5 linked regions of the Sus scrofa genome follow. The protein of the gene in region 1 interacts with the protein of each later gene in a biochemical or structural test. Links are inferred from orthologs where the notes say so. Each region holds a gene or a part of one and is shown in the gene's direction. Other genes may lie near its edges. The genes, in order: RAD51, SEM1, RAD51AP1, FBXO18 and RAD52.

Evidence for each region.
Region 2: the proteins of RAD51 (region 1) and SEM1 form a complex in vitro, tested with the Homo sapiens proteins (2 studies listed by BioGRID). The link is inferred for Sus scrofa from reciprocal best matches to the Homo sapiens genes RAD51 and SEM1.
Region 3: the proteins of RAD51 (region 1) and RAD51AP1 form a complex in vitro, tested with the Homo sapiens proteins (6 studies listed by BioGRID and IntAct). The link is inferred for Sus scrofa from reciprocal best matches to the Homo sapiens genes RAD51 and RAD51AP1.
Region 4: the proteins of RAD51 (region 1) and FBXO18 form a complex in vitro, tested with the Homo sapiens proteins (2 studies listed by BioGRID, with this or other methods). The link is inferred for Sus scrofa from reciprocal best matches to the Homo sapiens genes RAD51 and FBH1.
Region 5: the proteins of RAD51 (region 1) and RAD52 form a complex in vitro, tested with the Homo sapiens proteins (6 studies listed by BioGRID). The link is inferred for Sus scrofa from reciprocal best matches to the Homo sapiens genes RAD51 and RAD52.

The regions. Positions count from the first base shown.
Region 1 is NC_010443.5:130,621,492-130,627,639, reverse strand, and holds part of RAD51 (DNA repair protein RAD51 homolog 1), read left to right. Parts: intron 1-2,086; coding exon 2,087-2,224; intron 2,225-6,148.
Region 2 is NC_010455.5:144,626,329-144,631,215, forward strand, and holds SEM1 (26S proteasome complex subunit SEM1), read left to right. Parts: upstream 1-2,620; 5' UTR 2,621-2,672; coding exon 2,673-2,885; 3' UTR 2,886-3,049; downstream 3,050-4,887. UniProt on the Homo sapiens protein: Component of the 26S proteasome, a multiprotein complex involved in the ATP-dependent degradation of ubiquitinated proteins.
Region 3 is NC_010447.5:65,879,327-65,885,474, reverse strand, and holds part of RAD51AP1 (RAD51-associated protein 1), read left to right. Parts: coding exon 1-88; intron 89-4,002; coding exon 4,003-4,164; intron 4,165-6,148. UniProt on the Homo sapiens protein: Structure-specific DNA-binding protein involved in DNA repair by promoting RAD51-mediated homologous recombination.
Region 4 is NC_010452.4:65,072,873-65,079,020, reverse strand, and holds part of FBXO18 (F-box DNA helicase 1), read left to right. Parts: intron 1-3,200; coding exon 3,201-3,300; intron 3,301-3,389; coding exon 3,390-3,511; intron 3,512-5,785; coding exon 5,786-5,861; intron 5,862-6,148. UniProt on the Homo sapiens protein: 3'-5' DNA helicase and substrate-recognition component of the SCF(FBH1) E3 ubiquitin ligase complex that plays a key role in response to stalled/damaged replication forks.
Region 5 is NC_010447.5:68,155,862-68,162,009, reverse strand, and holds part of RAD52 (DNA repair protein RAD52 homolog), read left to right. Parts: intron 1-1,045; coding exon of another isoform or gene 1,046-1,172; intron 1,173-1,504; coding exon of another isoform or gene 1,505-1,522; coding exon 1,523-1,603; intron 1,604-3,507; coding exon 3,508-3,609; intron 3,610-3,975; coding exon 3,976-4,069; intron 4,070-4,231; coding exon 4,232-4,299; intron 4,300-5,895; coding exon 5,896-6,014; intron 6,015-6,148. UniProt on the Homo sapiens protein: Involved in double-stranded break repair. Plays a central role in genetic recombination and DNA repair by promoting the annealing of complementary single-stranded DNA and by stimulation of the RAD51 recombinase.

The DNA.
Region 1 (6,148 bases):
AGCACCAGAGCTGGGCCTTTCACTGTTTCTGCCCATTGCATTGTACAGAGACCCCCATGGTGAGTGCAACTGACTTGGGCTGAAAAAAGTAGGAGAGAATGCTGAGAAAGCCTTTATTCTTTTATCTCTTTATGCATGTCCCTCCCGTCCCCAGCTAAACTTGAAGACTCTATAGGTTACTTAAACAAGTTGCTGATAAATGTTGGAGAGTTCAGAGTCATAACTTGGTTTCGTGAGCACAATACCTGTGTATTGAATATTGCTTAAATATTAACAACAGACCTGGTTTCTATGGGCAGCGACTATTCTCTCTTCTCTCTCAAACCTTCCCTGACCCCCTAATATACACACATCCCCCCTTACTCATTCTCTCCCATAAATCATGGCTTTGGTGGCTAATAAAACCAAAACTGACTTTGTCTTTTTTTTTTTTAATTATTTTATTTTATTTTTTTTTTTTTTTGTCTTTTTGCTATTTCTTTGGGCCGCTTCCACAGCATATGGAGGTTCCCAGACTAGGGGTCAAATCGGAGCTGTAGCCCCCGGCCTACGCCAGAGCCACAGCAACGCAGGATCCGAGCTGCGTCTGCAACCTACACCACAGCTCACGGCAATGCTGGATCCTTAACCCTCTGAGCAAGGGTAGGGACCGAACCCGCAACCTCATGGTTCCTAGTCAGATTCGTTAACCACTGTGCCACGACGGGAACTCCTTTTTTTTTTTTTTTTTTTTTTTAAGGCCACATCCATGGCATATGGAAGTTCCCAGGCAGGGGTCGAACCAGAGCTGTAGCCGTTGGCCTGCACCTCAGCTCACAGCAATGCTGAATCCTTAACCCACTGAGTGAGGCCAGGGATTGTACATGCATCCTCATGGATACTAGTCGGGTTCGCTATCCCTATCCCTGAGCCATGATGGGAACTCCCTGACTTTGTGTATAGGAAGAAAGAGATGCCTTTGAATGTGGTTTTTTTTTTTTTTTTTTTTTTTTTTTCCCGTTCTTTTCTAGGGCTGCACCCATGGCATATGGAGGTTCCCAGGCCAGGGGTCTAATTGGAGCTTTAGCTGCCAGCCTACACCACAGCCACAGCAACAGAGGATCCAAGCCTCGTCTGCGACCTACACCACAGCTCACAGCAATGCCAGATCCTTAACCCACTAAGCGAGGCCAGGGATCGAACCCACAACCTTATGGTTCCTAGTCGGATTCACTAACCACTGAGCCACAACACGAACCCCTGGATGGTTTGTTTTTGAGAAGTGGTCTGTAAATCCCTGACCAAGAGTAGTTTTCCCCATTATTAATATCAGTTGTTAAAGCAGAGCTTTCCAGTCTTTGTGCTCCCAAGAAGGTACTGACATGCTAAGATAGTACTCCCTTTAGCTCTGGGGCAGTCTTATCTGTTTATCCCAGCTTAGTGTAAAACATATTGTTTTATGTAGAAAACATTGAGGAACACTGGCTTGAAATGGCCTTTTAGGGCTCAGGATCTCAAAGCTCATTTAGAGTCCCAGTTGTAAAAGGTCGAAAGTTACAGGTTTAATCCAATTCATGGTAGGAGTCCATTCTAATATACATTGTGCTAGTTTACTGGTTTTGATGATGAAAAGGTTGATAATACCTCATATGTAGGACATACTTTTCACAGCTTTTGCATATAATTTCACAGTTACTAAAACAGCTCTGTTGGAGTTCCCATTGTGGCACAGCGGAGGCGAATCTGACTAGTATCCATGAGTACGCAGGTTCGATCCCTGGCCTTGCTTGGTGGGTTAAGGATCCAGCGTTGCTGTGAGCTGTGGTGTAGGTCACAGATGCAGCTCGCATCTGGCGTTGCTGTGACTGTGGTATAGGCCAGTGGCTATAGCTCTGATTCTACCCCTAATCTGGAACCCTCCATATGCCATAGGTGTGGCCCTAAAAAGACAAAAAGAAAAACAACCAAAAAAAAACCAGCTCTAAAAAGACAAACAAATTTTAAACCCCACCTAAAACAGCTCTATCAAGTATGTAGGGACAATATCCATATCAGATGGATAAGCATACCGAAGCTTAAATTTATCCATGGTTTTGTTCACTTGCAGCAATGTGGCATAAATGCCAATGATGTCAAAAAATTGGAAGAAGCTGGATTCCACACCGTGGAGGCTGTTGCCTATGCACCAAAGAAGGAGCTAATAAATATTAAGGGGATTAGTGAAGCCAAAGCTGATAAAATTCTGGTGAGTACGGCTTATGTGACCAAGTGAGGCAGTAGTGGAAATAGTGCAAAAGGGTGTACAGTGAAAGGCAGCAGTTGTCCTCTTTCTCTCCCTCCTTCTGTCATCGTCTTCGTCTTTACAGAGGTGACCGTGTTAATTGTCTTTGTATGTGCCTCTTCACATAAATTGAGATATTTTCTAAGGAATTGCGGAATCATTGAGTATGGCATAAATACTGCCACATTGACTACCAGTTTGCACTCCTGCCAGCAGTAAGTGGTATGTGTGTTTCTGGATAATATGATCTCATGCCTTAGAAATATACTCGTTAGTATGCAGCCACAAAAAAATTTTTTAAGAATATTCACTGACATAGGAAAAATGTTCCTGATAGAAGAAAGCAGGTTAATGGGAGTTCCCGTCGTGGCGCAGTGGTTGGCGAATCCGACTAGGAACCATGAGGTTGCAGGTTCGGTCCCTGCCCTTGCTCAGTGGGTTAACGATCCGGCGTTGCCGTGAGCTGTGGTGTAGTTTGCAGACGCGGCTTGGATCCTGCGTTGCTGTGGCTCTGGCATAGGCCGGTGGCTACAGCTCCGATTCAACCCCTAGCCTGGGAACCTCCATATGCCACAGGAGCGGCCCAAGAGATAGCAACAACAACAACAACAACAACAACAACAAAAAAAAAAAAAAAAAAAAAAGACAGAAGAAAGCAGGTTAATGAAATATGTTTGTGCACATATATGTTTTTGTTTTTAAAAATTGTGTAAATACAATTACACAAATACAGTGTATACCACACACACTGGGGATAAATACATTAAAATATTACTGTTGTTTCTAGGAGTTACCGTTGTGGCTCAGTGGTTAATGAATCCGACTAGGAACCATGAGGTTGAGGGTTCGGTCCCTGCCCTTGCTCAGTGGGTTAACGATCCGGCGTTGCCGTGAGCTGTGGTGTAGGTTGCAGACGTGGCTCGGATTCCGCGTTGCTGTGGCTCTGGCGTAGGCTGGTGGCTCCAGCTCCGATTCGACCCCTAGCCTGGGAACCTCCATATGCTGCAGGAGCGGCCCAAGAAATGGCAAAAAGACAAAAAAAAAAAATTACTATTGTTTCTAGTCTAGTTAACATGACTAGCCTTTCAGCATGTATAATCTGTTAGTCAGCTAGTTATAAGCGAGATTCTTTAATAATAAAAATAAAATATGGGAGTTCCCATTGTGGCATAGCGGAAACCAATCCCACTAGTAACCATGAGGATGTGGATTCAATCCTTTGCTTCGCTCAGTGGGATGGGGATCTGGCATTGCTGTCAGCTGCAGTGTAGGTTGCAGACAAGGCTCAGATCCCACGTTGCTGTAGCTGTGGCATAGGCCAGCAGCTGTAGCTCCCATTCGATCCCTAGCCTGGGAATTTACATATGCCGTGAGCGCGGTCCAAAAAAAAAAAAATCATATATGTATATATGATTACAAGTCATATGTTTAGTTTTATTAACCTTAATAAATGACATAAAAGTGATTTTACTGGCTTAATGTAAATGAGTTATTAATAATCTTTTATATTATTTAGCACTTTAACTTTGAAATCCCATCCATTTCGTAAACATGGTATTCTCACTTGGGCTTCATACCGATGCTGAAAAAAATAAGTAAGGCCGGTATTATCTCTTTCTTACAGATGAGGAAACTTAGGCACAATACTTCTATCTTAGTGATAGAACTAAGACTAGAATCCAGTTATTTTCATCCTGCTATACTGTGATCCTTTATCATTTCCCTCTAATGTCTTACAGCTTTTATTAATTTTTCTTGTTTCATATACTCCTTTGTTACTCATAATACCTCATGATTACATTTAATTTTATGCACTTAGCCTTTGGTATTTACGGGCTTTCCCCCCTCCCCAAATCTATGGCATATAGAAGCTCCTGGGCCAGAGACCAAACTCTTGCCATAGCAGCAACCCTGGCTGTTGAAGTAACAGTGACGGCTAGTTAACCTGCTGTGCCACAAGAGAACTCCTACAGGCATGCTTAGAGATAATTGTGGGTTTGGTTCCAGATCACCACAATAAATTGAATATTGCAATAAAGTGAGTCAGAGTTTTTTGGTTTCCCAGTGCATATAAAGGTTATTTTTATACTATGTTGTAGTCTGTTAAGTATGCAATAGCATTATGTTTTAAAAAACAGTGTTCAGGAATTCCTGTTGTGTTTCTGGTTAACGAACCCAACTGGTATCCATGAGAACCCGGGTTGGATCCCTGGCCTTGTTTAGTGGGTTAAGAATCTGGCATTGCCGTGAGCTGTGGTATCGGTCACAAATTTGGCTCAGATCCTGCGTTGCTCTGGCTATAGTGTAGGCCAGCAGCTATAGCTCTGATTCAACACCTAGCTGGGGAACCTTCATATGCCATGGGTGCAGCCCTAAAAAGACGAAAGATTAAAAAGCAAAAACAAAAAGTAGTGTACATAGAGTTCCCACTGTGGCTTAGTGGGTTAGGCATCCAACTGTAGTGGCATGGGTTGCTGCATAGGTGAAGGTTTGATCCATGACCCAGTGCAGTGGGTTAAAGGATCGGACATTGCCAGCAGCCTGGGAACTTCCATTTCCTATGGTTATAGCCATAAGAATAAATTTTTTTTTTTTTTGTCTTTTTTTGCTATTTGTTGGGCCGCTCCTGTAGCATATGGAGGTTCCCAGGCTAGGGGTCGAATCGGAGCTGGAGCCACCAGCCTACGCCAGAGCCACAGCAACACGGGATCTGAGCCACGTCTGCAACCTACACCACAGCTCACGGCAACGCCGGATCGTTAACCCGCTGAGCAAGGGCAGGGACCGAACCCTCAACCTCATGGTTCCTAGTCGGATTCATTAACCACTGTGCCACGATGGGAACTCCCAGAATAAAAATTTTTAAAAATGTTAAGCATCATTTAGCCTTCAGCAAGTCATGGTCTTTTTCCTGGTGAGGGTCTCACTCCAATGTTGATGGCTGCTAACTGATCAGGGTGGTGGTTTCTGAAGGTTGGAGTGGCTATGGCTATATCTTAAAATAAGACAACAATGCAGTTTGCTATATCGATTGACTTATATCCTTTCATGAACAATTTCTCTGTAATATGCAGTGCTGTTTGATAGCATTTTACCCACAGTAGAAATTTTTTCAAAGATGGAGTCAGTCCTCCCAAATCCTGCCACTGCCTTATCAACTAAGTTTTTGTCATATTCTAAATCTTTTGTTGTCATTTTACCAGTCTTCATAGCATCTTCACCAGGAGTAGATTCCATTTTAAGGAGCTACTCTTTGCTTATTAGAAGACAGTCCTCATCCATGAAAGTTTTATCATGACATTACATCTGATCTGTACTTCCTCCACTGAAGTCTTGCACCCATCAGAGTCATCTGTGAGGGTGGGAATCAACTTCTTCCAGACTGCTGTTAATGATATTTTGATCTCTTCCCATGAATCATGAATGTTCTTTTTTTTCTTTCTTTTTTCTCTTTTTTGCCATTCTGCAGCATATGGAAGTTCCTGGGCCAGGGATCAAATCTGAGCTGGAACTGGGACCTACACCACAGCTGAAGCAGTATCAGATACTTAACTCACTGCTCCAGGCTGGGAATCAAACTAGCACTTCCACAGAGACAAGCTGGATCATTAACCTATTTCACCACAGCAAGAACTCCGACAATTGTTCTTAATGATATCTAGAATGGTAAATACTTTCCTACTCATTGTACATCATTGTATATCTCTATCACAGCTCTTGGGTGACTAGGTGCATTGTCAACAAGCAGAAATATTTTGAAAGGAATCTCTTTTTCTTTTTATGGCTGCACCTATGGCATATGGAAGTTCCCTGGGCTAGGGATTGAATCTGAGCTGTAGCTGCCAGTCTACACCACAGCCATAGCAATGCCAGATCCGAGCCACATCT
Region 2 (4,887 bases), on another chromosome or scaffold:
AACTATTCTCTATACCACAGTAGAGAGGAATCATTCAGAAGGGCTGCCAGTTCTCCTCATTTTAAGTTTTGCATGGTATGACTCTCCAGCTACCAAAAGCTATAATCATCCAGAACAACTATCACCTTTCCTCTGAACTCAGAGGTTGCCAGCAGCTGAAACTGTTCATTTCACCCAATAACCAAGCATATGCATGGCAGAAGTAAGCTGTGAAGGCAGGCAGAAGCACTGATGATGGGGTCATGGCTTCCTCTAGACACTGGAGAACTTCATGTGCCCTGTGCCCTCCTTCAGGGAGTATTCACTGCATTTTAATATAATATTACTCTCTACAGTTATTTTATTTATAGGCTAGTGGAAAAGTGAGGCATTAGAAAAAAGAATGCTCATGGAATTTGAGTAAGGGAAAGAGAGCTAATAAACATTTCTTTTCTAGGGCAATATGAAAACACCCACATTAAGGATAAGTAGCTTATTCGAGAAAACACAAAGTCAAAACAAAATATGAATTAATGATTTTTAGTAAATCAGGAACTAACATTCTACTTTCACCCCCATCCCATGCTCTCTAATTATGGTGATAATTCAATGGTTTCTTTCATGTCCAGAAGTCTGCCCTTCAAATACCACTCGATATTTTCATTTTATCTTCCTTTCTTATTCTCATTCTCTCCTTTCTTATTCTCTCTTTCCCTCTCATCTTCTCTTCCCCATCCATTTTCATTTCTCAAATTCTTTTGCTCCCCCTCTTTTACCTTCTTTTTGCTTTAGGGTGTATCCTAGCAACAGCTATTTTAATTAAAAAAAAAAAAAAAGATGGGAAGGGCCATTGGTGTTGCCAAGGTTACCAGTATTTCCTGCTGTCACTTGAGAAAGTTAACTTGTGCATTTATCATAATGAAACAGATGCTTCAGCATCTTTCTTTCTTTCTTTCTTATAAATCTTATTGGAGTATAGTTAACTTACAAAGTTGTGTTAGTTTCAGGTGTACAACAAAGTAAATCTATTTTACACATGCATATATCTATTCCTTTTCAGATTCTTTTCCCATATAGGTTATTACATAGTATTGAGTAAATTACCCTGTGCTATACAGTAGACCTTTGTTATCTATCTATTTTATATATAGTAGTGTGCACATGTAAATCCCAACCCCTTAATCTATCCCTTCAACCCCACATTTTCCCTTTGGTAACCATAAATTTGGTTTCAAAATCTTTGAGTCTCTTTCTGTTTTATAAGTTCTTTTCTATCATTTATTATTAGATTCCACATATTAGTGATCTCATATGCTATTTACCTTTTTCTGTCTGACTTCTTTGACTTAGTATGATAACTTCTAGGTCCATCTCTGTTGCCACAAATGGTATTATTTCATTCTTTTTGAGTAATATTCCATTTTATATATGTACCGATCTTCTTTATCCAGTCCTCTATTCATGGACACTTAGGTTGCTTCCATGTCTTGGCTATTGTAAACAGGGCTGCAATGAATGTTAGGGTGTATATATCTTTTCAACTCACGATTGTCTCTGGATAGATGCCCAGGAATGGGATTGCTGGATCATATCAATATTGTTCTCCACAGTGATTACAACCACTTACATTCCCACCAACAGCATAGGAGAGTTCCTTTTTCTCCTTACCCTCGCCAGCATTTATTATTGATAAACATTTTGACGATGGCCATTCTGGCTGGTGTGAGGTGATACTTCGTTATAGTTTTGATTTGAATTTCTCTAATAACTAGTAGAGACTAAAAAATATGCTACTAAACAAGCAATGATTCACTGAAGAAATCAAAGAGGAAATAAAAAATACCTACAGACAAATGACAACAAAGACATAATGATCCAAAACCTATAGGACAAATGACAACAAAGACATAATGATCCAAAACCTATAGGACACAGCAAAAGCAGTTCTCAGAGGGAAGTTTATAGCAATACAATCTCACTTCAGGAAACAAGAAAAATCCCAAATAAATAACATGACCTTACAAATAAGGAACTAGAGAAAGAAAAACAAATGAAACCCAGAGTTAGTAGAAGGAAGGAAATCATAAAAGCTCAGAGCAGAAATAAATCAGATAAGTATGAAGAAAACAAAAGATCAATAAAACAAAAGCTGGTTCTTTGAAGAGATAAACAAAACTGATAAACCTTTAGCCAGACTCATCAAGAAAAAAAGGGAGAGGGCTCAAATCAACAAAATTCGAAATTAAAAAGGAGAAATTACAACTGACCACACATAAATACAAAGGGTCATAAGAGACTACTACGAGCAACTACATGCCAATAAAATGGACAACCTAGAAGAAATGGACAAATTCTTAGAAAGGTACAACCTTCCAAAGCTGAACCAGAAGAAATAGAAAATATGAATAGACCAATCACAGGTTCTGAAATTGAAACCAAGATTTTAAAACTTCCAAAAAACAAAAGTCCAGGACCAAATGGCTTCATAGGTAAATTCTATCAAACATTTAGAGAAGAGTTAACACCTATCCTTCTGAAACTTTGCAGAGGAAGGAATACTCCCAAGCTCATTCTATGAGGCCACCATCACCCCAATACCAAAACCAGACCAAAAAAACAACAAAAAAGAAAATTAAAAACCAGTATCCCAACTTTTCCACTGGCCTGAGAGGTTTGGGGAACTGAGGGTCGCGATGTCAGAGAAAAAACAGCCGGTAGACTTGGGTCTGCTGGAGGAGGACGACGAGTTCGAGGAGTTTCCTGCAGAAGACTGGGCTGGTTTAGATGAAGATGAAGATGCACATGTCTGGGAGGATAATTGGGATGATGACAATGTAGAGGATGACTTCTCCAATCAGTTAGGAGCTGAATTAGAGAAACATGGTTATAAGATGGAGACCTCATAGCATCCAGAAGAAATGTTGAAGCAACCTAAATTTGAACTGTTTACTAAATTCTGGAACAGAGAACCCAGGGGGGACACTTAAAAAAATGTTTATTTCATTACCTGCTTGGACTTATTTTTGTTTTTGTAACACAAAAAATAAATGTTTGATATAATAAAAAAAAACCAGTATCATTGATGAATATAGACATAAAAATCTTCAACAAAATATTAGTAACATTATTTATATTATAAATATAATATTTGTATTATATTAGCTCTCATAAAAGCTTTTTACTTCCTTATTTCATTTCCACAATGGTTCTGTAAGGATTTACTTCCCCATTTTATAGATGGGGAACTAAAAATCAGGGATTTTAATGACTAAAGTGGCAGAAGACTTTATAATGGTTTTTAATTCCTAACTCCCTGCACAGCATCTTCCTTCCACCAGATGGTGATGAAATAGTGCCCATGCATGTTTTTAACCCCTACTTTCTTCCTAACAGCTGCCCCAGAAACATTTTCTGAATAAATCATTTGCACATTAATGTTCCTTTGGGGTCAATTCCGATTTCCCTTTCACCCTTCCCTTCCTTCAATCCATTCTCCATGGCTGGAGTGATATTTTTAAAATCTTACTTAGATCACATCACTCCCTACTTAAAACCATCAATGGATCCCCACTATGCTCAGGTAATGCCCAAGTTCTCTACCATCATGTAGGTATTTCATGCTTCAGCTGGTATCTTCAGCCTCAACTCTGACTACTTCTTTCCTAATATAATGCAGCAATAGCATACTATATGTAATTCCCAATACAGACCAGGATGTATCTTACCTCTTTGGTTTGGTTCAATTCATGCTGCTCCCAAAATGTGGCATGCTCTCTTCTCCAGATGTCACTAATCAATGCCTCTGGTTCAAGCAAGTGTCATCTCTCCAGGAAGGCTGAGAGTTCCTGGAAGATAGGGATTATTCGTTCATTAATTTTATACCTTTGATTTTAGCCTGATACAGAATAGAAAGCTCATTGAATGAATGGCCTTTCTTTTTCTTTCTTTCTTTTCTTTTTTTCTCTTTTTCTTTTTCTTTTCTTTTTTGTCTTTTTAGGGCTGTACCTGCAGCATATGGAGATTCCCAGGCTAGGAGTCCACAGTCAGAGCTACAGCTGCTGGCCTAAATAACAGCCACAGCAATGCCAGGTCTGAGCCATGTCGGCTAACTACACCACAGTTCACGGCAGTGCCAGATCCTTAACCCGCTGAGTAAGGCCAGGGCTCAAACTTGTGTCCTCATGGATGCTTCAGATTCATTTCCACTGAGCCATGATGGGAATTCCTGAATGGCCCTTTAAGGAGTGAAAATAGCTACTACTATGCTAAAGCAACCTTGACAAACCCTCAATTAATATTGGAGATATCTTTGAAAAGTGAACCAATAATGTTGGTAATGGCCATTTATTTGTGCCAACACTGTACCAGAGAGTTACTACTTAATGTATGATATTATTTATCTTCACAACAAAATAAGGCATTATTATTCTTTTTTTTAAATATGAGAAAAATTAAGATGAGAAATGTCGCTTAGGACATAGTGCATAAGTGACAGATTTGGAATTTGAGTCCTCCTATGCCAATCTTCATTCCAAAGACTGTGCTCTCTCCTTTACAGAAAAGCATCTGTGTCATAAGTAAAGTAGAATAACACCTGTAACCTCAAATGGGCAAAGCCCTCAACCATTTTCATTCCCAGCCTGATGGTCAACATGAAAAAGAGGAACACTGGTTTTATATATTGGTTCATATATACTGGTTTCATCTACCCATGTTTATATTAAATTCATATGGCTTCAGCATCATAATCAATACGTTACATCTGCATCTATTTCCAGTCACTTTAGAAGGCATTTTGTTTGGAGGCATTTCATCTGAAGAGATGGTAGAACTAGAGACAGATATTTACAGAGAATAAATAAATCCTTATTTTATACTCTATACAATAAAATATGCACGGAACATTTC
Region 3 (6,148 bases), on another chromosome or scaffold:
GCCACGGTCCAGCAGAGGAAGATCCTCCTGGACGGCCGTGACGGCAACGGTGACGGCGACAGTGACTCCGAACCAGACTTTGCAACAGGTGAGTTATGTCCTAACTCTGCATTAACCCCATGGAGAGTCAGTAAAAAGACCATTGATGTATGCAAAACACTGCTAAACGTTTGGTGTGCACAGACTGTGTGCACACTCAGGACTGTTAAATTCAGCTGTGGCATTTGGGGGAAGCTGTATCTGGAGGTGACCTTTAAGCCATGCCTTGAAAAATGAGTAGCATTGGGGTGAAATAGCACTTCTGACGGATAGAAGGGTATAAACAACAGAATGGACAAGCGCACGTACAAGAACTCGGTGATGCTGGGGATTCCTCAAAAAATTAAAAATAGAACTACCTGATGATCCGGCAGTTCCACTCCTGGGTATTTATCCAAAGAAAATAGAAACTGATTGGAAAAGATATGTGCACGCCCTATGTTCATTGCAGCATTGTTCACAATAACCAAGGTATGGAAGCAACCTGAGGGCCTGGCAGCAGATGGATGGATAAAGAAGATGTGGTGCATATGTATGTATTTAATGCACACACACACACCCAGTGGAATACTACTCAGCCAAAGAGAAGAATGAATTCTTGCCACTTGCAACAGTGTGGATGGACCTGGAGGGCATTTTATTAAGTGAAGTAAGTCAGACAGAGAAAGACAAATACTGTGTGATTTCACTTAGATGTGATTTCACTTAGGTGTGGAATCTAAAAATAAAGCAAATCAAACAGAACAGATACAGTCATAAATACAGAGAACAAACATGGTTGCCAGAGAGGAAAGAAATAGTTGAGGGAGTTGAGATGGACAAACCTCTAACTGCAAAATAAATGAGTTCATGACATGAAATGTGCAGTGTGGGGAATACAGTCAGTAATTGCATAACACCCTTGTAAAGTGACATCCTGTAACTGACTTAACTGTGGTGGTCATTTTGAAACGTATAGAATTAGCGAATCACTATGTTGTGGACCAGGAACTAACATGGTGTTTCAGGTCAATTCTACTTTACAAACAAACTCACAGAAAAAGAGATCAGACTTGTGGTTACCAGAAGCAGATGTTGGAGGAGGAACTGGATGAAGGCAGTCAGGAGGACCAGGCTTACAGTTATGAGATAAACAAGTACTGGGGTGTAACATACATGATGAGTAAATTAACACTGTGCTATGTTATACATGAAAGTAAGTAAGAGAGCAAATCCTAGAGTTCTCATCACAAGGAACATTTTATTTTCTATTTCTTTGATTTTGTACCTGTATGAAATGGTCAATGTTCACTAAACCCATTGTGGTCATCATTTCGTGATGCATGTAAGTCACATCGTTATGCTGAACACCTTAAACTTACATAGTTCTGCATGTCAGTTATATCTCAATAAAACTGGAAGAAAAAAAAAAAAAAGATGTGGAAACACATGCACACATACAAGGTATCCAGTGAGGCTTGCAGGGAAGGGAGAATGTGGTAGAGGCTGCAGAGGCCCCCTGGCGCAGGTTTGTGCAGGGTCCCTGACCCATCCTAAGAGGTGTAGAATTTTTTTCCATAAGTAATGGAAATTCACGAATCATTTTGAGGTCGGAATGATGTGAAACCTGTATTTTTTTGTGATAGTTTTCAGATTCATTCAGAGATTAGGGCAAATGGGAAGCATAGTGACCTTGACAGCATCATGGTATACAAACTAAAATTAAAATGAATAAATCCATAAATTTATGCCATCAGATGCTATCTTTTTAACATGCAGTTGACCAACAATAACCTGTTTGTTCATCTCCATTCAAGAAATAGTTGGGTACCTGTTATGGGCACTGTATTTTAGACACTTAATGATATTATTATAGCATTGGACAAAGTTCCTGCCCTTATGGAGCTCAAACTCCGGCAAGGGGACACAGACAATAAACAAATACCTAAGGTGTCAATTTATGGTTTATGTAGTAGTAGATACTTAAAAATTCATAGATTCTGAGACATAGCCCTTAGCTGCTTGTGTATCACTTGTGGACTAAAATGACTGTTGTTTCTCCAGCTCTTTGAGAGTTGGTTTGGTTTTTCCCGGCTTCATTATTATGGTTTCTGCCAAACTGCTTGTACAGTTGTGCTTCCTGCAAATGTCGTGTGCTCCAGCCCTGAGGAGCAGTATCTCAGCTCTTCCGGGAGCTGCTCATCAGTGAGGAGGTGAGAACTGCTGTCCAGCCAGGGCTGTGGATTCACAAACTAAGCTTTAGGCACAGGATTTTTTCCTTGCTTCTCCAAATTTCTGACTCCTCCTCTGTCCTTCACCCCAAGAATGCAAAAGTCTACGCTGTCTTGCAGATATGTAAACCTCCTTCAGATGCTCCAGCCAAGCCTGCTTTACCTTCAGTTCAAGGACAAACATTCTTTTTATACTCCATATACTTCAAGGAGTGAGACAGCTCATTTTCATCCACCCTAAGCCAAGAATGACTCTCTCCCATCGACTCAGAGCTGGGGGACAAGAGGGGTGGATATTGCTCTGTACTAAAAGTGACTAATATGGACCGGGTAGAAGATGATACCCAGAAACATTTGTTAATATTGCTAGATAGGATGATGACATTGTTGTGTTTTTTGAAGGTCCGTGTTTTTCAGAGATGCTTTGTGAAGTATGTAGGAGTGTAATGCCACAGTGCCTTGGGTTTATTTTTATAGACATGAGAAGAAAGGGGAAAAGAGAAGACAGATGAGATGCAGCAAAATATTGCTGATTGTTGAATCTGGGTGTTAGTTTTATTGTCACCTGTTGTGAGTGTTTAAAATTTTTCATATATATTTTTTTTGTTTTTTACATAGACTATGTTATTCCATAGATAGCTGGGTAGGTACTGTCAGTGGGTGGTGAGCATGACAGTGGTTATCTCAAAGTGAGGAGGTTAGAGAGTGGGCCTCCTTCTTAATATTTTGTAGCACAGTCTACATTTCCTACAGTAAGCATGAACTGCGTTTGGTTTTTTGTTTGTTTATTTTTTGGCCATACTTACAGCAAGTGCAAGTTCCCAGGCCTGGGCGCAAACGTGCGCCACAGAAGTGACAACACTGCATCTGTAACCACTAGGCCTCCAGGGAGCTCCATGAACTGCATTCGTAATATAAAAAAGTGGAAAAAAAAATTGTTATGAATATAGGGCTAATCCTTATTTACACTTAATTGTCAGAGTTTATTATTTATAAGACATGGCCTTCTTATCCCCCTACTCACCAAAAAATAGAAGAATTATTGCTTGACTATTGGTTGTTCTGCACGTTCTCTTCTAAAGCAGCTGTAGCTACGTAATACATTTTATCACCGGCTAATATCACCTCCTGCAGCCCAGAAAAGAGTGTGTGGGAGAGCCGGGGTGTGTCCCAGATGAAATCATCGTCAGTTAAGACTGCTGGGGTGCCGTTTGTCTCTTCTCAGTTCCCAGTGGATCTCTGTTCTGCAGTGCTGAAGTTTGTGCGATTAAGGGAAGGTATACGGTGAAATTACCATCAAAGTTAACGTTTTGTAAGAGCAGCTAATATTATCCAGCTATTTTTCTCAGAAGTTACTGAGTTAAACTGATAAATTCGGAATCCTTATGATTACTGATGGGAGGTTAATGACAACAGTGAGAGCAAGCAATTCTCTTCTGCTCGCTGCATGCACATGTTATCCTTTGCCTGTATTAACTCGCTCAGTCTGCACACCAACCCTGTGATGTAGGTCTTAGGGTTCTCCCCATTTTATACATGAGAAATTGAAGCCCTGTGAAGTCAGTGACTTTTCTGACACCACACGACATGTAAGTAGAGAGGCTGAGACCCAAAACTAGGCCACTGTGTGTGGTTTCGCCCCTGGAGATGGCACAGCACAGAGGGCACCGGAGTCTGGGGCAGAAGCCAAAGTGGAGGCACTAGAAGCTTCACGTTTCAGAACCGAGATGAGGTTTGTAATCTTCTATTTCAGGTGACGATTCTGAGGATGATTCTGATTTTTGTGAGAGTGAGGATGATGAAGCCCTCACTGTGAGAAAAAGCAAAGTTAAAGAAATCAAAAAGCAAAAAGTGAAGGTGAAATCTCCAGTTGAAAAGAAAGAGAAGAAACCTAAATCTAGACGTGCTGCTGTGGGTAAGCGCAGCCCTGAATAGAGCAAGTGTGTTGGGTTTACTTAGTGGGTTTCTCTCCGTGGCCTGTGTTCTCTTAACATCTTGCCGGTGTTCGTTCCCATGAAAATCCGTGGAAGAGAGCAGGTGGGGTCAGAGCCGGTGGGTACAAGCCTCCACCTTCCCTGTCACGGGTCTCTCAGTCTTTGAGTTGAGAACCTTTCAATCACGTGTTTGAGGCTTTTTGGTTTCTTCAAAATGAATTCATTTAGAAACCAGTTTTAAAATAAAACTTTGGAACTTGTGATGACTTAAATATGGAATACTTGTGTGAAAGAAGTTTGGATATTTTTGAGTTCGTAATAGATAACAGATTACTGTGAAATATAACTTCCTTTACCCTGATTTACTTTACATACTGACAGACATTTATGTCTTCATTGTTAAATATATGTGCTATTTGAAACTAAAATTTCCATTATTCAGACCCCATTTATTAATTGTGGGCATTGTTCTCACCTGAAATAGCCCAGGGCTGAGTACTGGTGCTGAGTACTTACTAAGAAATAAGAAGTATTGATTGAGTCATGCTCCTCCTGCCACTATATTCTGAATTAGTGAGGTTTTATTTTGTTTTTTGCTTCTTTTGGGGCTGCACATGCGGCACATGGAGGTTCCCAGGTTAAGGGTCAAATTGGACAGCTGCCGACCTATGCCACAACCACGGCAACTCGGGATTCAAGCTGTGTCTGTGACCTACACCACAGCTCACGGCAATGCTGGATCCTTAACCCACTGAGCGAGGCCAGGGATCGAACCTGAGTCCTCAAGGATCCTAGCGTTCATTGACCACTGAGCCACGAAGGGAACTCCTGATTAGTGAGGTTTTAATTGATTTTTTTAATTGGCAAATTCATCGTTTCCAGAAATAAGATTTTAAATGCCGGGTTTTTAGAGATAAAGCTGTGTATGAGTTCCCATTGCTGCTGTAAAAAGTTATTACAAACTCAGTGGCTTAAATCAACACAAATTTATTATTTCACAGTTCTGTAGGTCACAGATTCAAAATGCCTCTCACTGGGCTAAAATCAAGCATTGGCAGAACTGTGTTCCTTTGTGGAGGCTTGAGGGGAGAATCCCCTTTCTAGCCTTGAGGCTGCCTGCTTGCCTTGACTGGTGGCCCACTTCCCTCTTCAAAGCCATCACATCACTCTTGTTCTCTGCTTCTCACTTTCACTTACAAGGACCCGTGTGAGTACACTGGGCCCTTCGCACAATTCAGGTTACTTCCCCATCTCGAGTCTCCCCCCCGCCTTTTTTCTTTGTCTTTTTGCCATTTCTTGGGCCGCTCCCACGGCATATGGAGGTTCCCAGGCTAGGGGTCGAATCGGAGCTGCAGCCGTCAGCCTACGCCACAGCCACAGCAACTCAGGATCCGAGCCTCGTCTGCACCCTACACCACAGCTCACTGCAACACCGGATCCCCAATCCACTGAGCAAGGCCAGGGATCGAACCTACAACCTCATGGTTCCTAGTCGGATATGTCAACCACTGAGCCACGACGGGAACTCCTCGAGTCTCTTAATGTAATCCCACTTAAGTCCCTTTGCTGTATAAGATAACATGTGCACACGTTCTGGGGAGTTAGGAGATAAATATCTTTAAGGAGCCGCCTATATAGACTGATAGGAGAAGGTCATTGACGATATGAAAAAACCTAACATGAATATATTTTATGTTTTCTTTAGATTTTTGTTTATGCCTTCTCACCAAGACACTCTAAAAGCTAAAAATAAATTCGCTTTCCAAGTTGCCATTTACCACTTAAATATTTCTTTATCCTGGAGCAAGTTGCTTCACAAGAAAGTTTACCATGTGATATTAGAAGTAAAATTTAACAGCCAAATAATGAAATTAAGAATTCGGAAAGATGGATTATATTTCTAGTCCCAGTAATAACATATTGAGTAACCTTTGAGTGTCTTCAATCTGGTACATGTTATAATTT
Region 4 (6,148 bases), on another chromosome or scaffold:
GAAGTACGACTCTCTCCCAGTCTGTCTGAGGAAGCAGGGAGGTGAGGAAGGCCCCCCAGTCCCCTGGTGTGTGCTGGCCGCCCGGCCACCAGCACGACATGGTTGTGTCGTGAGCCCCGCTGGCTCCTGCTTTCATGTGTACTAGAAGGAGCGGCTGACAGACCAACTCTTGTTACTCAGACTCGGGGATTTGGCACTTTCTCAAAAAGGAATGCGATGAGCTATGACTGCCAGGAAAACAGCTGACAAGTGTTTGTTGCCAAAGATAAAATTCTTGCTTTCAAGTGAAATCCACATTTGGTTTTTGTTTTGTTTTGTTTTGCTTTTTAGGGGCGGCATATGGACGTTCCCAGGCTAGGGGTCGAATCGGAGCTACAGCTGCCGGCCTACACCACAGCCTCAGCAGCACCAGATCCGAGCCACGTCTGCGGCCTATACCACAGCCACAGCGACACCAGATCCAAGCCACATCTGCGGGCTACACCACAGCTACAGCAACACTGGATCCTTGTTGTCACTGTTGTGGCTCGGGTCGCTTTTGTGGCATGGGTTCGATCCCTGGCCCGGGATTTTCCACATGCTGTGGCTGCAGCCAAAAAAAGTATTCTTTGTGCAATCATATAATGAGTTTATTGTTGTCATATTTAAATGAACTGAAGTTGCTAAAATGGTAATTTTAGACACAATTCATAAGTAAAAGCTCCTTCATGGCCTCACTAGTTTTTTAAAGTATCAAAAGCCTTGAGGCCAAAAGGTGTGAGCACCATACTCTTAAGAAACTCACTTTTGGGAGTTCCCGTCGTGGCTCAGTGGTAACAAACCCGTCCAGTATCCACAAGGATGCGGGTTCGCTCCCTGGCTTTGCTCAGTGGGTTAAGGATCTGGCGTTGCCGTGAGCTGTGGTGTAGGTTGTAGGTGCACCTCGGATCCCGTGTTGCTGTGGCTGTGGTGTAGGCTGGCAGCTGCAGCTCCAATTAGACCCCTAGCCTGGGAGCCTCCATATGCCCCAGGTGCGGCCCTAAAAAGCAAAAGTCACTTGTGGTTTGAGGATGTGAAAGGCGCCAGCTTGCCTGCTGGCCTCGTCACCTCCCAAGAGCTGTGGAGTGTCGAGTCGCGGGAGGTCCTGTCCCCCACTGTGTGGCTTTACCCCTGGAGCTCCTCCTGTTTGCTGTAGTGATTTAGGGCAGCACCAGCCCACAGTCCTTTTTTTTTTGTAGTAGATGTTGGTTAGTTGCGGATTTATACGAAAATTGAGAGGATAGCACAGAAAGTTGTGATGCCCCTACATCCAGTTTGCTTTGTGACTCACGTCTCATTGCTGGGGTACATTTGCCACCGTTGATGAATTGGTACTGAGACCTTTTCATAATCCAAAGTCCCCAATTGATTCTGATTTTCATAGTTTTTATTTGACGTCCTTTTTCGGTCCCAGGACCTCATTCAGGCCACCCCCTTCCGTCCAGGGTTGTGTTTTTTGGCCTCCTGTCGGCCGCCCCCTGTGGTTTCTCGGGCTTGCCTTGTTTTTGACTGGCTTTTGCCTTGTCGGGGTTTGGTGGGTACACTGATGTTTTGGGAGGAAGACCTTGGAGGAAGATTAGCCGCTTTCATCATGAGCTCTGGGGACCTGTGCCATCCACGTGATTTATGACTGTTGAAGTTGTCTTGGTCCCTGGTCCCCTGGGCAGGTCTCTCCATCGGGATGTGACTGTCCCCCGGCCAGTCTCCACACGCGTGCTGTGGAAGGAAGTCCTGGCCCTCGGCCCTCCCTCGGGCACGAGTGGGAGTGTCTGTGTCAGTGGCCGGCAGTTCCTCTGCTAAAGAGATTTTGTGTCTTCTCTTCCCCGCTGTTGACTCATTTACATCAGGGGGGACTCGGGCGTCTTTATCGTTTGGGTTGTGGCTCCCTCAGAATAGTTCTGTAGAAACGCTTTACGGAAAGTCTCACTTTCTTTAGCCCAGTGATTGATGTTCTCTGAAGGACATGATGCTTTAACCTTGAGTTAAAAATGCACGGAAAAAGGCAATACATGCTGTGAGTTCAGGCAAGAATGATGTCTTCTTTTTTTTTTTTTTTTTGCTTTTCAGGGCTTCACCCCCATGGCATATGGAGGTTCCCAGGCTAGGGGTGGAATCAGAGCTGCCACTGCAACCTACACTACAGCTCACAGCATTGCCAGATCCTTAACCCATTGAGCGAGGCCAGGGATCGAACCCGCAGCCTCATGGTTCCTAGTGGGATTCATTTCCACTGCACCACAACTGGAGCTCCCAAGAATGATGTCTTCACAGCTGCAGTGGTCACGGAGTCAGGGCGTAGGGCTGCTTTTTGAAGGGTAGGAAATTGTTCTGCCATGTGCTGCAACAGGAGGAGGGCAGGAAACACTCAGGAGTGTTTTTGGCTACACTCGCTGCATGTGGAAGTTCCTGGGCTGGGGATTGAACCCACAGCACAGCAGTGACCCGAGCTGCTGCATTGACAATACCGGATCCTTAACCTGCTGAGCCACCAGGGGACTCTGATTATTCTTGTGGCTGGTTATGCAGGGCACTGGTTTTAAATTGGTGTTGAGGGAGCCTCAAGGGACAGGGAGAGCCCCCCCACCCTCCCTTAATCTTCAGTGTAACTTCGTTAGGGTCCACTGGGAAAGAAGGGTACGTGTGGTTAAAAGGAAGGTTTGCTGCTGGTCTCAGGGAACGTGGGACTAAGGCCGTCCAGCCTGTGAGGGTCCTGAAAATGCCCACCCCACCCCTCCATGCATCACTCTCCCTTTTTTGTACCAGGCGCATGGCCAGATGAAAAGGGGGGGGGCAGGATTCATGTGACAGGGGTTGGAGACAGGAAGGAAGAGCCGGGGCCGAGGAGACGTGCGGTTGGGGTTTCTGAGCGGAGCCGGAGGCAGTGGAAAGAGAACACGGTGGAAGACTGGTCAAGGCCTGGATCTGGGGGCCAGAGGCCAAGAAACAACCCTCAGGTTTCAAGATAGAAGATGCTCTTCGGAACCCTTCGACCCCGTCCTTTTTTGCCTGCCCAGCTTCCGGCCTGTGGGGGCGGGTTTCCTGGGGGACTCTCTCCAGGCAGCCTTGGTAGGCTGGTGAGCCCGGTGTGGTCGATGGGCTTCAGCGCGGCCGGGACGGGAGCAGGCAGGGCCCTCAGTGCTCCAGGCGGGGGCGTTAACTCTGTGCTTCCTGTTCTCGCACAGAGCTTCCGATTTGGCGTGGAAATAGCCTACGTGGGAGCTACGATCTTGGACGTCTGCAAGAGAGTGAGGAAGAAGACTTTGGTCGGAGGAAACCACCAGAGTAAGGCTTTCAGTGACCCTCGTTTGTTCTGCGGGTTCGTGTTCCTCTTCCTCTGGATTGGCCCTGGAGCCTGTGCTCTCTCCCCAAAGGTGGCATCAGAGGTGATGCCAAGGGGCAGGTGGCCCTGCTGTCCCGGACCAACGCCAACGTGTTTGATGAAGCCGTCAGGGTGACAGAAGGGGAGGTGCCAGCTCGGATCCACCTGATCGGGGTAAGAGTGCGTTTCCGTCGTCTGCTCGCTCAGGGAAACACGGTCCATGCCAGCGCCCCCGCACCCAGGATCATCACGCACAGAGGCCCTTGGGCTTGATTGTCCCCACATCCGCACTGTGGCTGAAGCCCCGCCCCCGGCCATGCTGCTTAAGTGAGTCCTGTACCGTCAGGCCCAGCAAGGGCTCCGCTGCCCCTAAAAAAGGTGAGGGCCCTCTCGAGGCCGCCGGCTGTGTGACATCAGTCACGTAAGACACGCGAGGTGAGGACACACTGGGAGGTGGCCGGGGGCTCCATGTCGCCCCTGGCTTGGCCTCAGCTCTTCACTAACTCTGTGTGTGCCCCCACCCAACCCCCATCTCTAGGACAGCGACACTGCCTATTTCACAGGGACATTAGGAGGGTCAAGTGACACGTGTAGGACGTTTTTAACTCTTTGAGGCAGTTTTATGCCTGAGAAACATTTACCCGTTCATCTATGAGAAAAAGGCCTACTCTGTGTAAGCCTTCAACAAGTATAGCAAGTGAATCCTAATCAAAAGTTTTTTTGTTTTTTTTTTGGTCTTTTTGTCTTTTTAGGGCCGCACTCGCAGCAGCATATGGAGGTTCCCAGACTAGGGGTCCAATCAGAGCTGTAGCCGCCGGCCTACGGCCAGAGCCACAGCAACTCGGGATCCGAGCGGCGTCTGTGACCTACACCACAGCTCACGGCAACACCGGATCCTTAACCCACTGAGTGAGGCCAGGGATCGAATCTGCCTCCTCATGGATGCTGGTCAGGTTTGATAACCACTGAGTCACAGTGGGAACTTCCTCAAAAGATGTTCTGATGCTCCTTTTTCTTTTTTAAATGGTCGCACCTGCAGCATTTGGAAGTTCCTGGGCCAGGGATTGAATCCCAGCTGCAGCTGTGATTTACACGGCAGCGACACTAGATCCTTAACCCACTGCGCCAGGCCGGGGATCAAACCTGCACCTCTGCAGCGACCTGAGCTGCTGGAGTCGGATTCTTAACCCACTGTGCCACAGTGGGAACTTCTCCTTTTTTTTATTTTATAAAGATTGTCCAACCGAGTTACAGAAGTTTTGGAAATTAAAGGGAAAGAATCACCCTTAATCTCAGTTCTCATTTTTGCTGATTATTTATGTCTTTGTCCTTATGGATGTGTGTTTTTGCATAATTGCACGTACATAAAAGAGTATGTAGTTTTTATTCCACCTGTGAGCAGTTTTTCCTCACATTGCTGCTTTAATGAGTTTACAGTATTCCAGCACGGAGGCAGCATACTTTAGTCTTTTTAGTTATTGTGGGGAAATGGTACTTTTGGAGTATCTTCCACCAGGGAGGGAAGCTGGTCCCCTCTCGCACGTCCACTGTGTCATCGTGCTGGGTCACTTCCCGTTACAGTTCAAATGGTACAGTCGTCTGCGGTCTCTGAGATTAGCATTTGTGTCCCTTCCCAAGTGCTCCTGGGAGTGTGGAGCCTTGGGCTCGGGACCGGGCCCCAGTCAATGCTCTGCCCCCACTTCCAGGTGGAGTGGGCTGATCTGGGGGGTCAGGCAGGCCCTGTCTTCCGGGAGCGGACCTCTTAACACATCCAGTAATCTGGACCCATGCACAGTGCCTAGTTCTTTCCTCCACAGTGACAGCAGTTCCCATTGTGGCTCAGTGGGTTAAGGACCCGACCTTGTCTCTGTGAGGATCCAGGTTCAATCCCTGGCCTCGCTCAGTGGCTTAAGGATCTGGCGTTAGGGTGAGCTGTGGCTTAGGTCGCAGACGCAGCTCAGATCCTGCGTGGCTGTGGCGTAGGGATATGTCCCCTGGCCTGGGAACTTCCATGTGCCCTGGTTGCAGCCCTAAAAAGAAAATAAATAAAACAGCAGAAAAGGGGCAACGTGAGTGTTTGTGTTCCGCACTCGGTATCTGGGTCTGTTTAGACTCCTGGAAGCTGCTCCTTAAATTGCCTCCCTTGACAGGAAAGCAGCCTCCAGCCCTAAGGAGCGAGTCGGGTGAGGGGGCAGCCAGAGCGGGCGCTCGCTTGGCCCTGGTTTGCAGGCTGTGCCGTGGCCTCTGCCTTTGTGCGTGACGGAGGTTCCCGCTCGCGGTCGTTACGCTTGGGGTGCAATTTGAGATTCATTTCCAGAAAGTCCGTCGTCTCAAAAATCGCACCTGTGCGTTTGCTTTGCTTTGGTTTGGTTAACAACGGCCACGAAAACAAAACAAAAAACGACAAACAATCAAACCCCAGAAATCCCACCCAAAAAACTTTTCCAGGGGATCAAATCATTTGGATTGGACAGAATCGTTGACATCTGGACCCTCCTTCAGCCGGAGGAAGAACGCAGGAAAAGTGAGTGCGTGCGTGGTGGGCGTGGCCTCGCCGTCACCAGGGCAACGGGGCGGGAGGCGGGGAGGAGGGCGGAGCTCGCGGGGCTTTTTCCCAGCGCCACGCGCGAAGGCCTCCGGTTTCGGGGGAACCCGAGAGCTCCTCCAGCTCCTCCGCCCCAGTCTCGGGAGTCTAGGTGTCTGTCTCACGCTGGCCCCTCCGCCGCCTCCCCCGTCCCTCTGCTGGCCCCGGCCTCGCACTCCGACCTTCTGCCTGGGCCCCAAGCGGTCATTTCTAACTTTCCCGTAGCG
Region 5 (6,148 bases), on another chromosome or scaffold:
TAGACACTGATTATTGACTAGTATAGGCCACTATCCTACTTTTTCTTTTTTTTTGTCTTTTTGCCTTTTCTAGGGCGGCTCCCTCGGCACATGGAGTTCCCAGGCTAGGGGTCTAATTGGAGCTGTAGCCACTGGCCCACACCAGAGCCACAGCAACTCAGAATCCAAGCCGCGTCTGCAACCTACCCCACAGTTCACGGCAACGCCGGATCCTTAGCCCACTGAGCAAGGCCAGGGATTGAACCCCCAACCTCATGGTTCCTAGTCGGATTCATTAACCACTGAGCCATGACGGGAACTCCAGCCACTATCCTACTTTTTAGTGCAAGATTATGAATAAATTTACCATTCTTTGCTGAAATGTAATATTTTATCGTTTAAATAGTTTTCTGTATTTTCATCGTAATGTACTTAAGCAAGTTAACAAGAACTTAACAGTAACATTTATTTAGTACTTTGTATGTGCCAGGCACTCTTCTAATGCAGTTTTGATGCAGTTTCACATTTGATCTTTACAGAATCCCTAGGAAATGTAGGTGCCATTGTGATCTCCATTTTCTAGATGACAAAACATCTTTTAGAGAGATTATGTGATGTTTCTCTTGGTCAAGATCTCATGGATTATAGGGTCAGAAATCAACATTGTGCTGTAACGCCATGTGGAGAATCATAGTACTTGACATTGATGAATTGTTGTTCTCTTGTTAGCAAATAGTCTGAAAATTTATAACATGCAAGTTTGCTGAGGCCCAACTTAGAATCTGTGATTTGAGGCAAGTATGGGGTGGTCAGCTGCCAGTGCCTTTTCTTGGGGGTTCTGTTTTCTGGGGGTTACGTGTTGATATGGTTTCAGTCTAGTGCCTGGGCTTTTGATCCTGAATTTGTGTCAGAATCACTGGGTGGGCTTGGTCAAGCACTAATTCATGACCCCACCTCTAGCTTCCCATTCAGTGGGTCTGGGTGGGGGCCTGAGAATGTGGCCCCAGACAGTGCAGATGCTGCAGGGACTGTTAGAGGTTTAATGCTGTGTCCTTTCTGAATGCAGGGTCTTCACTGCGTCCTGTGAGGCTCCTCCTGTCAGCTGGTGTGTGCACCCCAGGAAAGCAGTTCAGCCTCTGTGGCTTCTGTTTCCTCTTGGACCCCGCAGAAGTCTGCATCGGGTTGCTTACACAGTAGGTACCTCATAAGCTGGTAGTTTGCTCTCCCCTAGTGTGCTCTTGTAATTTTGGCTTTTTAATTCATTTAAAGTATAACGTATTCTTATTGTAGAATCACCTTTAATAGCACCACCACACTCGCAAAAATTTGAGGAGAAAGATATAAGCAGACTGGAAAGGATTTTCAGTGGTGTGTGAGATGACAGCTAGCACTGAGGAACTTGGTCCAGACTGGTTCAGTGTTTAGAAGGATGCAAAAAAAGTGACTTTATCTGATTTTTAGTAGAGGCTCTTGCCTTTTACCATTAGCATTCTTTAAGATCTTTTAAAATCTTCTGTTTATTTAGAGGTCAACCAGAATTAACATGTCTGGGACTGAAGAAACAGTTCTTGGAGGCCGCGACAGGCATCCTACTGGTGGCAACTCTGTATTATGCTTTGGTCAGGTAACTGCTGTTTTTTTCATACCTGGAAGGAATGGGTTAAGTGAAAAGGTACATGGAAGCAGTTTGTAGAGTACCATCCCATACTGTAAGCTGTTAATTGTTTTTGTTTTTGTTTTTGCTTTTTAGGGCCGCACTTGAAACACATGGAGGTTCCCAGGCTAGGGATTGAATCAGAGCTGTAGCTGCCAGCCTACAGCACAGCCACAGCCACAGCAACTCGGGATCCAAGCCGGGTCTGCAATCTACACCACAGCTCATGGCAACGCCGGATCCTTGACCCACTGATCGAGTCCAGGGATCAAACCCACAATCTCATGGTTCCTAGTTAGATTAGTTTCCTCTGTGTCACGATGGGAATTTCTGTTACTGTTTTTTTTTCCATTTTTTTAATATAATTTTTTTTTTTTGTTTAGGGCTGCATCTGAGTCACATGGAGATTCCCAGGCTAGAGGTCGATGTGCCACAGCCACAGCAATGTCAGATCCAGGCCGAGTCTGTGACCTATACCACAGCTCACGGCAACACCGGATCCTTAACCCACTGAGTGAGGCCAGGGATCAAACCTGCGTCCTCATGGATGCTAGTCAGATTTGTTTCTGCTGATCCACAGTGGGAACTCTTTTTTTTTTTTTTTATCATTAAGGTGCATTATTTGGGAGTCTTTGATGAACTCTGAGGGCATTTTGGAACTTTAGCATCAAAAGACTAATATCCCTGAGGATTACATTTAAATTTAAATTTTATTTATTTTTTTTGGATAGATTGTATTTTCATATGCTGAAAAATTTAAAATGAAACAAACTCTATGTGGAAAGTATCATGTTTCCTATCACCCTTGTCCACATTTCACCCAGATCTCTTCTTTTGGATACATCCAAACTTTCTGGTATTGTATTCTTTATGGAGATATTCTGTGCATATAAGGGAGATTCTTGCTTTGTAACCCGGATTTTATCTTTGTCTTGCCAGAGATCTATTTGTGAGCATTTATTCAATTTAAATAGGGCAAGGGGAAAATGACCGAGGGGATGAAAATCCAAACAAGTAGTAGCATATTTCTTTATGTGTAGGATGGGAAATTGTTGAATTAGAGAAAAGGACAAATGGAAGCAAGACTTTCTTGTCCTGTTTTCTCCTCCCCTGCTCCCTTGCCTGCATAAATATCATATATAGACTCTGAGAATTAGTTTCCCAATTCTGACTCAGGTAAGTTTTATAAGGATGGTAACATGGTAGTAGCATCTAAGGCAGTGGTTCTCAAAATGTGGTCCAGTGACCCCTGGGCGGGTCCACAAGACCTTTCAGAGTCTGTGAAATCAAAGTTATTTTAGTAATAATACTAAAATACTCTGTGTCTTTTTCACTATTATTCTTTCATGAGTGAGGATGGAGCTTTCCAGAGACCGCATGGTGTGTGCTTATGTCATTGCTCTGGTGGTTATTGGAATGTGTGCCTTCAAAGTTTCTCAGTTTTAATTCCTAGTATTGACAGATATAACCAATATAAACAGAAGCTCTTTGGGTCCTCAATACTTTTTAAGAGTAAAGGGGTCTGGGAGTTCCCGTTGTGGCTGGGTGGTTAACGAATCCGACTAGGAACCATGAGGGTGCGGGTTCAATCCCTGGCCTTGCCCAGTGGATTAAGGATCTGGCATTGCTGTGAGCTGTGGTGTAGGTTGCAGAGGTGACTCGGATCTGGCGTTGCTGTGACTCTGGCATGGGCTGGCAGCAACAGTTCCAATTGGATCCCTAGCCTGGGAACCTCCACATGCCTTGGGAGCGGCCCCAGAAAAGGCAAAAAGACAAAAAAAAAAAAAAAAAAAAAAAAAAAAGAGTAAAGGGGTCTGGAGACGTGTTAAGGAGTGGTGGAGATGTCAGTTTAACCTCCCCTTTCTGGATTGCAGTACCAGTACACAGCAGAAGAGTACCAGGCCATCCAGAATGCTCTGAGGCAGAGGCTGGGCCCAGAATATATAAGTAGCCGCATGGCTGGAGGAGGCCAGAAGGTAGGAGAGTTCATGTCCCTGCAAAGTGGGTACCCACAATACTGACTCTTTCAGCGATGACCAGCTCCCTCTCTGGTCCTCTGGGATTCAGGAGGTTTCTCTTCACTGTTGCTGCATGTTTCTTAGTGACTTTAGGAGGGGATGGGTTCCAACCTTTGTTGTCATCTGAAGTGGGCCAAGTTCTGACTGGTCCTTCTGGAAGTTCTTTGAAATAAGTTCACTGGAATTTCTCTGAGAATTCCCTAGAATGTTTAAGGGCAGTTTTGCCAAAAAAAGTTGGTAAGGAATAAATTAAGTAAATTTTGGTCCATGTTTAAGTGTGGCAAGGGATGTTAATCAGCTCTTTTCTCTTTAAATTTTTACCAGGTGTGTTACATTGAGGGTCACAGGGTAATTAATCTGGCCAATGAGATGTTTGGCTACAATGGCTGGGCCCACTCTATCACACAGCAGAATGTGGGTGAGTCTGCTTCCTGGCTCTCTCTCCCTGACTTGGCTGATTCTGGTAGGCATGTTTTGTGGGTGAAGACCTAGGGTAGGTGTGCCCCATTGCCAGCTGGAGGGATCCAGGTAAGGCACAGGATCAATGTCCTCTTCAACTGGTTCTCTTTCCCACTCCTAGATTTTGTTGACCTTAACAATGGCAAGTTCTACGTGGGAGTCTGTGCATTTGTGAGAGTCCAGTTGAAGGTGAGGGTGATGGAATAGACTTCGCTTACAGGCACAGGGCGGGTGCTGAGACCTCTAGGCTGTGGAGCAGCAGCCCAAGAGCTGGGCCTGAGCTGGGGTGGCGGCATTCAGACAGGCTTACTCATGTGCCCTTCAGAGAATTCTGTAAAGCTCTGTTCTCTTGCATTTGTAAGTTAGCTAAAAGTTTTCACCATAAATATAAACAATTGCAAGGGTATATTTTTTGGCGTGTTATAAAATTTTACATTCTAAAGTAAATCCTACCTTTTTTTTTTTTTTTTTTTGCCACACCCTTAGCATATGGAAGTTCCTGGCCCAGGGATTGAATCTGAGCTGCATCTGTGACCTATGCCACAGCCACAGTAACACCAGGTCCTTAATGTGTTATGCCACAGCGGGGACTCCTATTACATCTTTTTTTTTTGCTTTTTTAGGGCTGCACCTGAGGCATACGGAGGTTTGCCACAGCCACAGCAACAGTAACATGGGATCTGAGCCTCGTCTGCGACCTACACCACAGCTCATGGCAACTCTGGATCCTTAACCCGCTGAGCAAGACCAGGGGTCGAACCTGCGTCCTAATGGATGCTAGTCAGATTCGTTTCCTCTGAGCCACGATGGGAACTTGTGCAGTTGGATTCCTAACCCACTATGCCACAGCAGGAACTCCACATCCTATTTTTTTATATTATGCAAAATGCTTTTCATTTCTTTTTCTGCTTTTTTGGGGCTGCGCTTGCAGCCCAGGGTAGGGGTGGAATTGGAGCTACAGCTGCTGGCCTGCACCACAGCCACAGCAACGCCAGATCCGAGCCATGTCTGCGACCTACACCACAGCTCATGGCAACACCAGATCTTTAACCCACCGATAGAGGCCAGGGATTGAACCCGCAACCTCATGGTTGCTAGTCGGATTCGTTTCCGCTGCACCACGAAGGGAACTCCTGTTTTGTTTTTATTTTTTTTCTATTAGTTAGTTTATATATCCATAGTTAATATTTTTCCTAGACTAAACATTCAGCAAAATAATTCTGATTTATTTTTGTAAATAGTTGTGAAAAACTTAGTCACATAAATAAACTGGGACTGGAAAGAGTTTTGTTACAGTGTCATTCATTTCTTTGAATGCTTTCTGAGTTATGTTTCAGAAATCCCAGTGCTGTCATCAGAAATTATATTCAGCTGTCTGTCAGCTAACACCCCCACCAGGCCCACCTTTAATTCTGGTGGAAGCTGAGAAACGGATGCCACCTGAGTTGTGAGAGGATTTGTTGGAAAATACAATATTTCGAATTTTCCTTTTGTTTGGTGTCCCAAAGGTTTTTACACTGCAGGGTAATACAAGACTTGGGGTAGGTGGAGAGGTGCCTTTTTCATGTAAAGAGATGAGAAAGCAGAGTTTTCTTGGCGCTTTGACCACAGGACACTTCTAGGCAGGTCCAGCCCAGGAAATGGTGCAGGAATTTGATTCTGACCACTACCTGTGTCGCAGGCCCTGGGCTCTGCCCTCCCGGTTCTGCCTGAGGAAAGGAGCTCGGCGTCCAGGGCAGTCTGCTGCTCCTGGTGTGATACTCCGATCTCCTCTTCTGTCCCCAGGATGGCTCGTATCACGAAGACGTGGGTTATGGTGTTAGCGAGGGCCTCAAGTCAAAAGCCTTGTCTCTGGAAAAGGCGAGGAAGGAGGCAGTGACAGACGGGTTGAAGCGTGCACTGAGGTAAGTGGATCCTCTTCATTTCAGCTCTGGGTTCAGAGCAGCTTTTTTTTTTCCAAGGTGAAACATCCACATGGTTCAAAAGTAAAAATAATGTAAGTTTCCCTCCCCTGCCCCGGTCTATGAGTGGCCTGTTT